Linked DNA regions of Arabidopsis thaliana. The protein of the gene in region 1 interacts with the protein of each later gene in a biochemical or structural test. Each region holds a gene or a part of one and is shown on either strand. Other genes may lie near its edges.

Evidence for each region. Proteins that work in one complex are often made in the same cells at the same time.
Region 2: of the proteins of CDPK19 (region 1) and CAT3, one has a biochemical effect on the other in vitro, tested with the Arabidopsis thaliana proteins (one study listed by BioGRID).

Annotation. Positions count from the first base shown.
Region 1 is NC_003076.8:6,557,831-6,563,876, forward strand, and holds CDPK19 (calcium-dependent protein kinase 19), read right to left. Parts: upstream 4,228-6,046; 5' UTR 3,979-4,227; intron 3,971-3,978; exon of another isoform or gene 3,665-3,970; 5' UTR 3,642-3,664; coding exon 3,132-3,641; intron 2,942-3,131; coding exon 2,818-2,941; intron 2,727-2,817; coding exon 2,583-2,726; intron 2,313-2,582; coding exon 2,160-2,312; intron 2,089-2,159; coding exon 1,973-2,088; intron 1,882-1,972; coding exon 1,711-1,881; intron 1,634-1,710; coding exon 1,403-1,633; intron 995-1,402; coding exon 842-994; 3' UTR 501-841; downstream 1-500. Other genes in the region: AT5G19440 (NAD(P)-binding Rossmann-fold superfamily protein), read left to right, coding at 1-72, 149-293; NUDT20 (nudix hydrolase homolog 20), read left to right, coding at 5,282-5,557, 5,704-5,768, 5,898-6,046. UniProt on the Arabidopsis thaliana protein: May play a role in signal transduction pathways that involve calcium as a second messenger.
Region 2 is NC_003070.9:7,141,428-7,147,068, forward strand, and holds CAT3 (catalase 3), read left to right. Parts: upstream 1-1,705; 5' UTR 1,706-1,714; coding exon of another isoform or gene 1,715-1,729; 5' UTR 1,730-2,486; coding exon 2,487-2,678; exon of another isoform or gene 2,679-2,779; coding exon 2,780-2,876; exon of another isoform or gene 2,877-3,031; coding exon 3,032-3,309; intron 3,310-3,401; coding exon 3,402-4,178; coding exon of another isoform or gene 4,179-4,263; coding exon 4,264-4,353; coding exon of another isoform or gene 4,354-4,380; exon of another isoform or gene 4,381-4,452; coding exon 4,453-4,614; intron 4,615-4,706; coding exon 4,707-4,766; 3' UTR 4,767-5,113; downstream 5,114-5,641. Other genes in the region: CAT1 (catalase 1), read left to right, coding at 5,385-5,399. UniProt on the Arabidopsis thaliana protein: Occurs in almost all aerobically respiring organisms and serves to protect cells from the toxic effects of hydrogen peroxide.

The DNA.
Region 1 (6,046 bases):
GCGTGTCGTTCACCACTCCGAGATTGTTAACATTCTACGTGAGCTTTACCCAAATCTCCCACTACCTGAAAGGTAAAACATGAACTAAATATATTACACCGGTTGTTTTGTTCATGTCCTGTGTCAATAACTTTTGCCTCATACGCAGGTGTGTGGACGAGAATCCCTACGTGCCAACGTATCAAGTGTCCAAGGATAAAACGAGGAGCCTTGGCATAGACTACATACCCTTGAAGGTTAGCATCAAGGAGACCGTCGAGTCCTTGAAGGAAAAAGGTTTCGCACAGTTCTGAGAAAGCATTTGAGCCAATGGATTTAATCCAGATTAGATAAAGTATTTGGAAGACTATTTCAGAAATAATATTTGGAACATGTCAATGTTCTCAAGGAGATATTAGTATGTTCTTGTGTACTTTATTGTTGTTCCATCAAATGAGTTACTTTTCCTTTTATTTCTTGTTAGTAAGATATCAAATAAGAATTCGAGTCAAGTGAGCATCTTTACACTGATGAATCTACAAATGATCAAACAATGATTAATGAATATCTTCTGACCCATGGTGACATGGTCGGGAAAGAAGTAAACAAAACTAAAGGGACTTTTACACTATTGTTTGCCAACAAATAGTATTAAGGATCCAGACAACATGAAAATAAAGAGTCAGAAAATTTAAGAACATCTGCTTCATATCGTACATGGCTGGCTATTCAAGTAACTAAAACATTTGAAACCCTGATCTACAATTATTGAGGAAAAAAAAAGATAAACAATTTTCAAAGAATACTGTTTTTTCCTTTTTCTTTTTACTTCTTTAAGAGATACAGAAACAAAGAACCTTTCTTAATTTTCGCCTTCTAATTGCAATGAACCTTCTCTCATTAACTTGAGGCTCAAACTGTTGAATCTTTCCCGGGAATACTGCCTCGACGCTTTCCTCCAATCTGTTCCAGCTTTCATCATCGCCGCAAACTCTTCATAGCTTATTCGTCCGTCCTAATCACCAAGACGATAAAAAAAATCAAGAGAAGACTTGTAAACTGCTATGTATTTCCAAACCAATTTTGCCATCAAGTTGCCTGTTCAAGACTTGAGAACTAAGGATGCACAATTCTGAGATATACTGATAAGATCAAACACATAATCTCATCTATTCTCAATGAACCAGGTTACACATAATCTCAATCACGCATTAAAATGCTGATATGGCATGTGCACTTGGTGAACTCCTATCATATTCCCACATATAGCCTTCCGAGGAGAAAGATTCAGACAAACATACCCAAGTCTTATGCTACTACACTGAATCATTTGTGTCCCCATATTATCGTCACATAACATTATTGAGTGAAGACGCATTTGCAGTGAAAAGTGTCTATTTCTAATCTCATATTTTGTGGTTACCTTGTCTGTGTCAACATCTTGCATAATAGCTGCAACAACTTCTTCACTGTTAGTATCCACCTCATCATTTAAAGCCTCACGCAGCTCCTCAATCTCTATGTAATCGCTCTGATTCTGGTCAAAAAAGCTAAAAGCCTTATGCAAGTGTTCGTCGTTCGCCATTTTCTTAAGATGCACAGAGACAGCCACAAACTCCCCATAATTTAAAGTCCCATCCCCATCAACATCAGCCTGCACACCAGATAAAAAAAAAAGGCTTTCAAATATCTGTTGGAACACAAACTCCAAAGTTTTAAGTTTTTTCTTACAGCTTCCATCAGAATCTGTAGATCAGTATCAGGTATCTGCTGCTGTCCGAGTTTATGAAGTCCAAATTTAAGCTCCTCGAGGTTTATCTTTCCCGTCTTTTTACTGTCCATCATCTCAAATGCTTCCTTGATGCCAGCTACTTCCTCCACTGATAAGTGTTCGGCTATCACCTGAAAGGAAGTGAAAAAAGAAGTTTCGCATTATTTCTTCAAATCCAACAGAAATAAGGTCATGAAGCAGCTGCAATGCTAGACAGAATACCCGTAGCGCTCTTTTCTTGAGCTTGTTCATAACAGAAAACTGTTTGAGTCTTGCTTTCACCGTCTCGCCGAGTGAAACATTTGGAGCCTTCTTCGCATTTTGTATCCAAGAATGTTCTGCAGATAGAAGTGTCATGATATATATGTTCCATAAGTAACAGATTTTAGAAACACACTAGGAAACATACCGAGTACTTGTGCAGCAGAAAGCCGTTTTTTGGGGTCAGGTTCGAGCATCTTCCTCACAAGGTCTTTGGCAGTCTCAGAAACTCTCGGCCATGGATCCCTCTTAAAGTCGATAACTGACCTAATGATCGCCTGAGCCACCCCTTGCTCAGTCTCTTTACAAAAATAAACAACATCAAGAAAAGAAACTCAAAAAGTGGACGAAGATAAGCAATTAAAAAAATCGAAAGAGGTCACTAGTGAATCCATGAACATGTAATTTGATAACATCATCCTAAATCATTCACAGAGGAAACTAGTGGTTCTGCAGTAAATCTTTCTAATCATCTATGGAAACTAAAATCAACCAGCTGCATATCCGTACAAAACATCCACTGTTGAAGAACAAAAAATGGATTAAGACAATAAGATGGATCATAACAAACCGGCCCAAAATGGTGGGACACCACAGAGCAGGATATAAAGGATAACTCCAGCACTCCAGATATCAACCTCAGGTCCGTAATTTCGCCTAAGTACCTCTGGTGCCATGTAATAAGGACTTCCAACAATCTCGTTGAATCCCTCACCTGTTACAAATTCAAAATATATCAAGTGGCGTAGACAGAACAAAATTATCTGTTGACCTGAGATATATAATGGACATTATAAAATCTATACCAGGCTTGAAGAAGACTGATAATCCAAAATCTATGGCTTTAAGGGCTGATGTCTCTTTTTTATTTGCAAAGAGAAAGTTCTCAGGCTTTAGATCCCGATGCATCACTCCATGCTTATGGCATATCTGCAATACCAAAAGGTGTTCAAATCATAAAGGTAAAAGTTGGGATAACAACTTTAACTAGCATTACACTGTAAGTGAAAGCCACTGCATAAAGACAAACAAGGAACCTTGCAATAGAATTAGAGGCAAGAAAGACCAGCTAGAAAGTTGACAAAACGAGAGTGCAAATGAAAAACGAAAAACTACAAACCTGAACAACTTCAAGAATAGTCTTCATCACTGCAGCAGCAGCTCGCTCAGTATAATGACCTCTAGCAACAATCCGATCAAACAGCTCACCTCCTTCACACAACTCCATAACTATATGCACTGCATCATCATCCTCAAAGGCATCCTTCAGCGACACGATATTTGGGTGTCTAGGCATATGTTTCATTATCTCAACTTCCCTCCTAACATCCTCTATATCCACAGCTGTTCTAAGCTTCTTCTTTGATATAGACTTGCACGCATACTTCTCGCCCGTTTTGATATCAGTGCACAAGTAAGTAATACCAAACTCTCCGCGACCAACCTCACGCCCCAGATCATACATAAGAGATATATCATGTCCTGTTGGATCTTTCAAAACAGAGAGCTTGAACCCAGTTCCAGATCCATTCGTAGTGTATGCTTCACTATAAAACGGGTTACTTTTGATCTTTGGTTTCCCCTTCTTACTCCCAGTCTCCGAACCCGGGCTCGCACAACAATTTCCCATTTATAATTCGAATCTGAGAAGTCCTGAGATTTCATCAAACAACTAAATCACTCACAAACGCAAACATGTCATTTTTTCCAAATCAAGAAAGCTTAAAACTTTATCAATTCATCTCCAAATTTTTCCAATTTAAGGAATTAAAGACTCTCACTAATCCCTAAAACTTACAGCAAGACAAATTCGATTTGATAAAAGGGCAAAACAAACGATCGAGAACAAAAAATGCAACGAAATTAAGAACCCTAGAAATTGAAGAGCTGATAAGTAAACCCTAGCAAATGAAATCAGGTGAAACCCAAAAAGGATGAAGCTTTAATTAGAAAGGGGAAACACAAACCTGAGACCTTAACCGGAGAAAGAGATGATCAGATTGGGATGAATCGACGGAAGCAAAGAGGGGAAATAAGTGACAGAGAGAAAGGAGAAGAAGCAGAAGAGTCAAAAAGTCTCCTTCTCCCTCGCTTCTTCTTTCTTAGTGTGGTGAGAGCAAAGAGAGACTCTTTTTTTTTGGTTTTTGGGTTCTCTCTATTGTGGAGTCAGGTGATAACCCAATTTGTAAAAGACAGTCACACGGTCACAATCAGACTCACCACCACTCTCTCTCTCTTTTATTGTTCCTTCCTCACAAATACTAACTTTCTCAAAATAAAATATATTTTTTTTTGGTTTCTTATTGAACAAGAACATGTGTTATTAAAAGTTTAAAACACAATAATGTGTCATGGATTGGCTTTTGTGTTTTGTCGCATCTCTAAGGATTTTGATATAATAAAAAAAAAGATTAGTCTTTTCATAATCCACCATTCATACACATGTTATATAGGTTACGTTAAGATAGATATCTCTAGTACAAACCAATAATTAGTGAGGCATTTGATCTATATGGATTGATAATATGATTAAGATAGATAGATATGTCTAGTAGAAACCAATAACCTTGTGATTTACTGGTTTATATGTATTTCAAATTTTATCTTGTAGTAGTCTTACTATATATATAAGAAAGAAAGAAAAATAAAAAATTAAGAGAAATTTTGAAAAATGCCACTTTTACAGGTGATCACTTGATCTTGTTCTCATGTTTATGGACAATAACATTTAGACGGTATTTGAAATCAATCATAAGTAGCTTTGGCCGTGACAGTAAATCAATGCTTATAAAATATATTTGTTATCAATATTCAAAACTCCAAAGTAAACAGTACTAATAATTAGAACCAGTCAACATATGCATTCAAAAAAGAAAAGAACTAATCGGTCAACTCAACCATATGTTCCACGTTTATCAAATTCATAAATAAAAACTACTACTACTATTTAACTATAAATATTTTTCCAAACAACACAAAATAATAGCAATAGGACGTATACTAATAGAGTAATAGGTGGGAGCAATTGTTAGATTGTTACCAATCAAACGAGCCGTGACCAAAACTATAGCGCGGAAAGACAAAACTATTTAACGAAAACGATATTGCCATTTGCGTTTGTTAATAATCACTACTTACCAGTGCTTTTTACCGAACAGTACCGAGCCGTGACTAAAAATCAAGCATTTCAATATCGAGTATACTCGATTCCGATTTTGGTCATCCGTATATAATAACTCTTGATTTCCAAACTCGACACAGCCATCGAAAATGGCATCTGGGTTTTGCTCACTGGCTCTAACTGTCACCACCTCCTTATTCTCGTCCCACGCGATTACACGGCGCGTTCTACCCATTCTACGGTGGCGTTCCAGTTCTATGTCCCTTTCTCCGCTGCGTCATTCCCGCGCTTTATCAGCTGCAACAACTGTTCCGATAAGCTCATCCTTCACGTGGGACGACGTAATCGAGACCGGTCGGGCAGAGTACAACTCTTCCGATCTCACCGGATTTTTCGAGAAAATCAACCGCTGCAATCGCGGATCCGTAAGTCCTACTAAATCGAATGGTTTTAGGGTATCGGTTCCTAGGAGAGTGAGATTGACCAAGGAAAGCTGAAATTCAATAAAAATGTTAGCTTTTCCTCTTTTCTGTTTATAAAGTTCAAAACTTTTCTGCTATACGTTTTTCAGGAAAAGTTAGGTGAGTTCATTCCATTTGTTATAGAGGAACAAATCGTTGGTTATATTCATAAAAGGTAACTGTTCTTGCTTCTGTGATTCTAAACTTGAGGTTGTACAAATTAGACTTCTCTTTTATGCATTCATTCACAAACTAGTTTTAGCAGAATCTTGGATTTTGATGCTTGTTTGTCTACATTGAATAGATTTACGGAGTACTTGAGGGAGTTTCATGATATCTTTACATTTTCACAAAATGGTTCTTGTCCTGACCGTGTTGATGGCTATGTAACGCTTAATCTGATGCTTCAAAAGCCTGAAGATAGAACCAGAGCAGTTGCAGATGTGATCAAAA
Region 2 (5,641 bases), on another chromosome or scaffold:
TTCTGTGATTTGAAATTATCTATCATCAAAAATGGAGCCAATAACTTTGAAACAACACGTTTTACCAGTGATAGTAACACCACATTTGGTTATGTCATATGTGCTCCACGTGATGTGGTCCATGTGGATACAAAATAACACACACACAAAAAACTGCATTTGAGTTATTTTAGTCATTGCACTTAATATATATGCGGCATACTGGAGAGGATTAAAAGTCCTAATAACTCTAAATGTCTAAATTATAAACAAGTAAATTTATAACTACGAGAGTATCTCCCTACTCCACTTTTATCTCTTATAGCTTATTGGATTGTTGTTTTCGTAACAGAGCTACTACAATGTTTATGGAGGGGGGCAACTGCGCAATATGTCCTTTAAAGAAATATATAAAAGAATGCGAAATGAATTCTGTTAAACGGAGATAGATGAAGATTGTCTTCTAATGATTGCCACTTTCTGAGAATAGTATGTTACTGTTGATTGTTGTACCTAGCTCTAGTTGTAAATAATAATATCAAACTAAGTAACAAGAGCAACTTGTTGACACTAAAGGGACCCCAAGTTACCCTCAATCAAAAATTGTGGATCAGTTCATCATCGAAGTAACGTGTTAATTATCGTCATATGCTCCACAACATCGACTCCCCACCATACCCACTCAATAATGTCAATTCAGCTCTCTCTTTTTGTATTTTTATAAAGAATGTATTTAAATTTTCAACCCATAATTTATAGATTCATGATCATCTATTAATAATTCATTAAATACTTTTCTGCATATTGATTTATTTAAAAGCCGTACGCAAGCTCAAATCGGATAAGACTAAAATAATATCACCCAGTTAAGTTAACTAACTTATTTTATTTTGAATAGTAGTATTAATTACTTTTGTTCAACTACTCCAATACTGTTTATATCCTTTCGACGGTATTAGTTATTTTCATGTTTCACGCATTTTTGTAATTGCAAATACAGACACCTTTGTTGTAACACATGTTGATTAATTTTCCGAAACTATATACTTTTGAAGACAAAAATTTAAAACAAAGAAACCTCAGATCTACAGTTCCACCTCGTGTCTGACACGAGTTTCTATGCGATAAGATCGAACATGTATATCAGCAGACTTTACTATAGATGAACTCATATTAGTAATAAGATCCAAATACGGAAATAAACAACTTGGAAAGTGAATGGAAGTTTTAAGAGAAAAATCATTTCTAGAATTATTTTTTAGATCATTTCTTTTTTTGGAGCATCCATTAGAGTTTTGTTTTTAGACTTTATGATTTATTTTTCTTTTGTTATCAGCACAATAATTGATTTTCAAAAGATATTGTATCTTTTTTTTATCTCTTGAGAAGCACAGCACAACAACGAGCAATGCTGACTTGTCGGGGTCAGCGATTATTATTAGTCACCGAACGAATTTTTCTTGGGTTGGAGCCAAAACCTAGCAAAAAAATATCTAAGTGGGGGCACTACATTATTGTTTTAACACCAAGGAAAAGTAAACAACAATGGCCCATTTTTACTGTATCGAGAAATTGATCTCGAAAGGACAAATGTACCCTTCCACTTCGGGAATCCATTATTGTGCATAACACACGCTGTTTCACTATATATACTTTCACATAGGATCTCAACACTCTCACTAAACCAAAATCCTCAAAAGCCTATTTGGGGGATCATCAACCTTCTATCATCACCATGGATCCTTACAAGGTATCTTCGATCATATTCTTCTTACTTTTTCTTTGTTTTTGTGTGGTGTATGTGTATCTTAATTAGAATTAGGTTCAACTATATATGCTCGTTTTCTAAACTATTTTTTAATTGGATTGATGTTCTTAAATCTTAAGGGTCAAAATACTTTTTATGCTCAAAAACTTACTTAAATTCTGTGATCGCTTGAACCTAAGTTGATGATGTTGATTTCTGTTTTGGCTGGCTATCTTTAATTAAAACGTTTAACCACTGCGTGAGAAAGACACGCCACATGTGGTTTTTGTTGTTTTTTTCCTTAGATTAGAAGTTATTTTGTTGTTGTTTTTTTTTTTATTATTATTACACACATGTGTTCTAAAAATCGGACGTTCAAATGATATAATCGATTGTTTAGACGTCCGACCGTATATTATTTTAGTGATATCAGCCAAATCAGATTAAGTAATCATCAACAAAATGATTGATCAGATCTACTAAACACCTGAGTAATCAAATCTACACGTTTGATTAATCAAATTAAATAACCGATCAGTTAGATCTATACATATGATAAATCTTTTTTTACAACATTCGGTTAATCAAACCATTGTCGGTCGATCTATCAATACAAGTGTATTTTTTTTTCACATACAAAAAAATTATCTCACCGACGAAAAAAAAATAAAAAATTATTATGTAGATCCATCGAACAAAAGGCTTGAATATACGGAAGTCACTTAAAAGTGTAATAATCGAATAAATATTAGTGGATAAAATGAAATTTATCTACAACCCTACTCTCCGACATGTTACTGTTTGCGTCATCAAATCTAAAGCCTTTTTGGCAAATAATGGTCGGAAGACTACTCGTGTCGGGATGGACCACCCGGATCCGATCAGGAAACGGGTTTTGATATGTTTCGGGTTACGACAAAAAATTAGGGCTTTTTATCAAATCAATCAGTTGGTAGTAAAATTTTGTGGATTGTTCTTGTCGATTCCGTTTGATTGTTGACCAAATTTCTTCCTGGATTTTGTTGATAATCGATCGTATAATGGTGATTGCAGTATCGTCCTTCAAGCGCGTACAACGCCCCATTCTACACCACAAACGGTGGTGCTCCAGTCTCCAACAACATCTCTTCCCTCACCATCGGAGAAAGAGGTATCGTAACCCTGAATTTCAAGAGTCTATCAATAAGAATCGGAACTTGTTGGATTTATGAAAGAGATAAAACTGAGATATAGAGTCTAAGCTGAGATCTTGTTCGTGAAGCGTGATGTGATTATTTTTAACATGTGTTACTTCGTAATGGGCAGGTCCGGTTCTTCTTGAGGATTATCATTTGATCGAGAAGGTTGCTAATTTCACCAGAGAGAGGATCCCTGAGAGAGTGGTTCATGCTAGAGGAATCAGTGCTAAGGGTTTCTTTGAAGTCACCCATGACATTTCAAACCTCACTTGTGCTGATTTTCTCAGAGCCCCTGGTGTTCAAACTCCGGTTATTGTCCGTTTCTCCACCGTTGTCCACGAACGTGCCAGTCCTGAAACCATGAGGGATATTCGTGGTTTTGCTGTCAAGTTTTACACCAGAGAGGTATAAGAAAAGATTCAAAGTTTCCATTTTTAATCGTCTTTTAGCTTCTTTAGAATCAGGACTGATTTTTGTCTTGTTACTGTTATGATCAGGGAAACTTTGATCTTGTTGGGAACAACACTCCGGTGTTCTTCATCCGTGATGGGATTCAGTTCCCGGATGTTGTCCACGCGTTGAAACCTAACCCGAAAACAAACATCCAAGAGTACTGGAGGATTCTGGACTACATGTCCCACTTGCCTGAGAGTTTGCTCACATGGTGCTGGATGTTTGATGATGTTGGTATTCCACAAGATTACAGGCACATGGAGGGTTTCGGTGTCCACACCTACACTCTTATTGCCAAATCTGGAAAAGTTCTCTTTGTGAAGTTCCACTGGAAACCAACTTGTGGGATCAAGAATCTGACTGATGAAGAGGCCAAGGTTGTTGGAGGAGCCAATCACAGCCACGCCACTAAGGATCTCCACGATGCCATTGCATCTGGCAACTACCCCGAGTGGAAACTTTTCATCCAGACCATGGATCCTGCAGATGAGGATAAGTTTGACTTTGACCCACTTGATGTGACCAAGATCTGGCCTGAGGATATTTTGCCTCTGCAACCGGTTGGTCGCTTGGTTCTGAACAGGACCATTGACAATTTCTTCAATGAAACTGAGCAGCTTGCGTTCAACCCGGGTCTTGTGGTTCCTGGAATCTACTACTCAGACGACAAGCTGCTCCAGTGTAGGATCTTTGCTTATGGTGACACTCAGAGACATCGCCTTGGACCGAATTATTTGCAGCTTCCAGTCAATGCTCCCAAATGTGCTCACCACAACAATCACCATGAAGGTTTTATGAACTTCATGCACAGAGATGAGGAGGTACGTCTTAGTACACCACTTGAGCTACCATTGTTAGTCTTTTTACTTGGAATCAAAATTCTCATTTGGTTTGTACTTTTTACAGATCAATTACTACCCCTCAAAGTTTGATCCTGTCCGCTGCGCTGAGAAAGTTCCCACCCCTACAAACTCCTACACTGGAATTCGAACAAAGGTCCGATTCCTGCCATGCCTTCTCTAAATCTTCAAATCCTAAACTCAAGTTTATTAGAATATTGGTGCTAAGAAAACCTTTTAATTGCTAATGTTGCAGTGCGTCATCAAGAAAGAGAACAACTTCAAACAGGCTGGAGACAGGTACAGATCATGGGCACCAGACAGGCAAGACAGGTTTGTTAAGAGATGGGTGGAGATTCTATCGGAGCCACGTCTCACCCACGAGATCCGCGGCATCTGGATCTCTTACTGGTCTCAGGTCAGAACAAAAAAACACTCGGTCAAATTTCTACGTCCTTTTTACCAAGTTTCAGCAAACTAAAACATTATTTATCTCTCTGTATCTCTCAGGCTGATCGATCCTTGGGACAGAAACTTGCAAGCCGTCTGAACGTGAGGCCAAGCATCTAGAGGCCAATCTCCATATAAGCTCAGTCTATGTGAGGTACAATCAATCTCATCGATCTATCATCGCTTGGTCGTTAAATCCGTCAAAAAGATAATCACATGTGTTGTTGTTTCTTGTCTATATAATAATAATGCTTGTAATCCCAAAAACTCATGTTTCCTTCCTTTCTACTCTCACTGTCTTTGTAATCTCTTTTTACAATAAATCAATGTTTCTTGAAGCAGTAAACAATTTCTAAGATTTATGGTGGTCGTTATACATATTATTAATTCAGGAAAAAAAAGAGAAGATACCGTAATTGAACATGTATTATTTTAAGGAGAATCCTGAAATGGATCAACAATTGTCTAATTATGGTATAGTATCTGGCGAAATCAAAGACGATATCATCCACACGTAATTAGTTTGACTATTAATACGAGGATTATCATTTGGATAAGGATTAACAAAGACAAAACACATACGTGTTTTGGTGTTGAGCTAAAATAAGATATTTTGGCTCTCGCTATAAAAAAAAAATCGACAACAGTGCAGACACACGCCGATTTGCGAGATACACACAGTCTCACCTAAAAATCGCAAAAGAAGAAAAATTCGGATCAAAATTGTCTTCAAGCATCATGGATCCATACAGGGTACATCGATTGATTCTCTTTTTTTGTAATCTGTGATTTTACCTTACTTGATTTCGTATCGATTTGGTGTGATTTCGTGTTGAATCCAAAGTGTATGAATGATCTCTCTCTCTCGGTTAAAATGATGCAAAATTGGGGTGATTGTTCGACTTGTTGAGGTTTTTTTGTGTGAATCGATTTCTTTATTATATAGTGGAGATTGGGTTTCGATTTGCATGCGTTGAAGATTCCACTGGAAAATT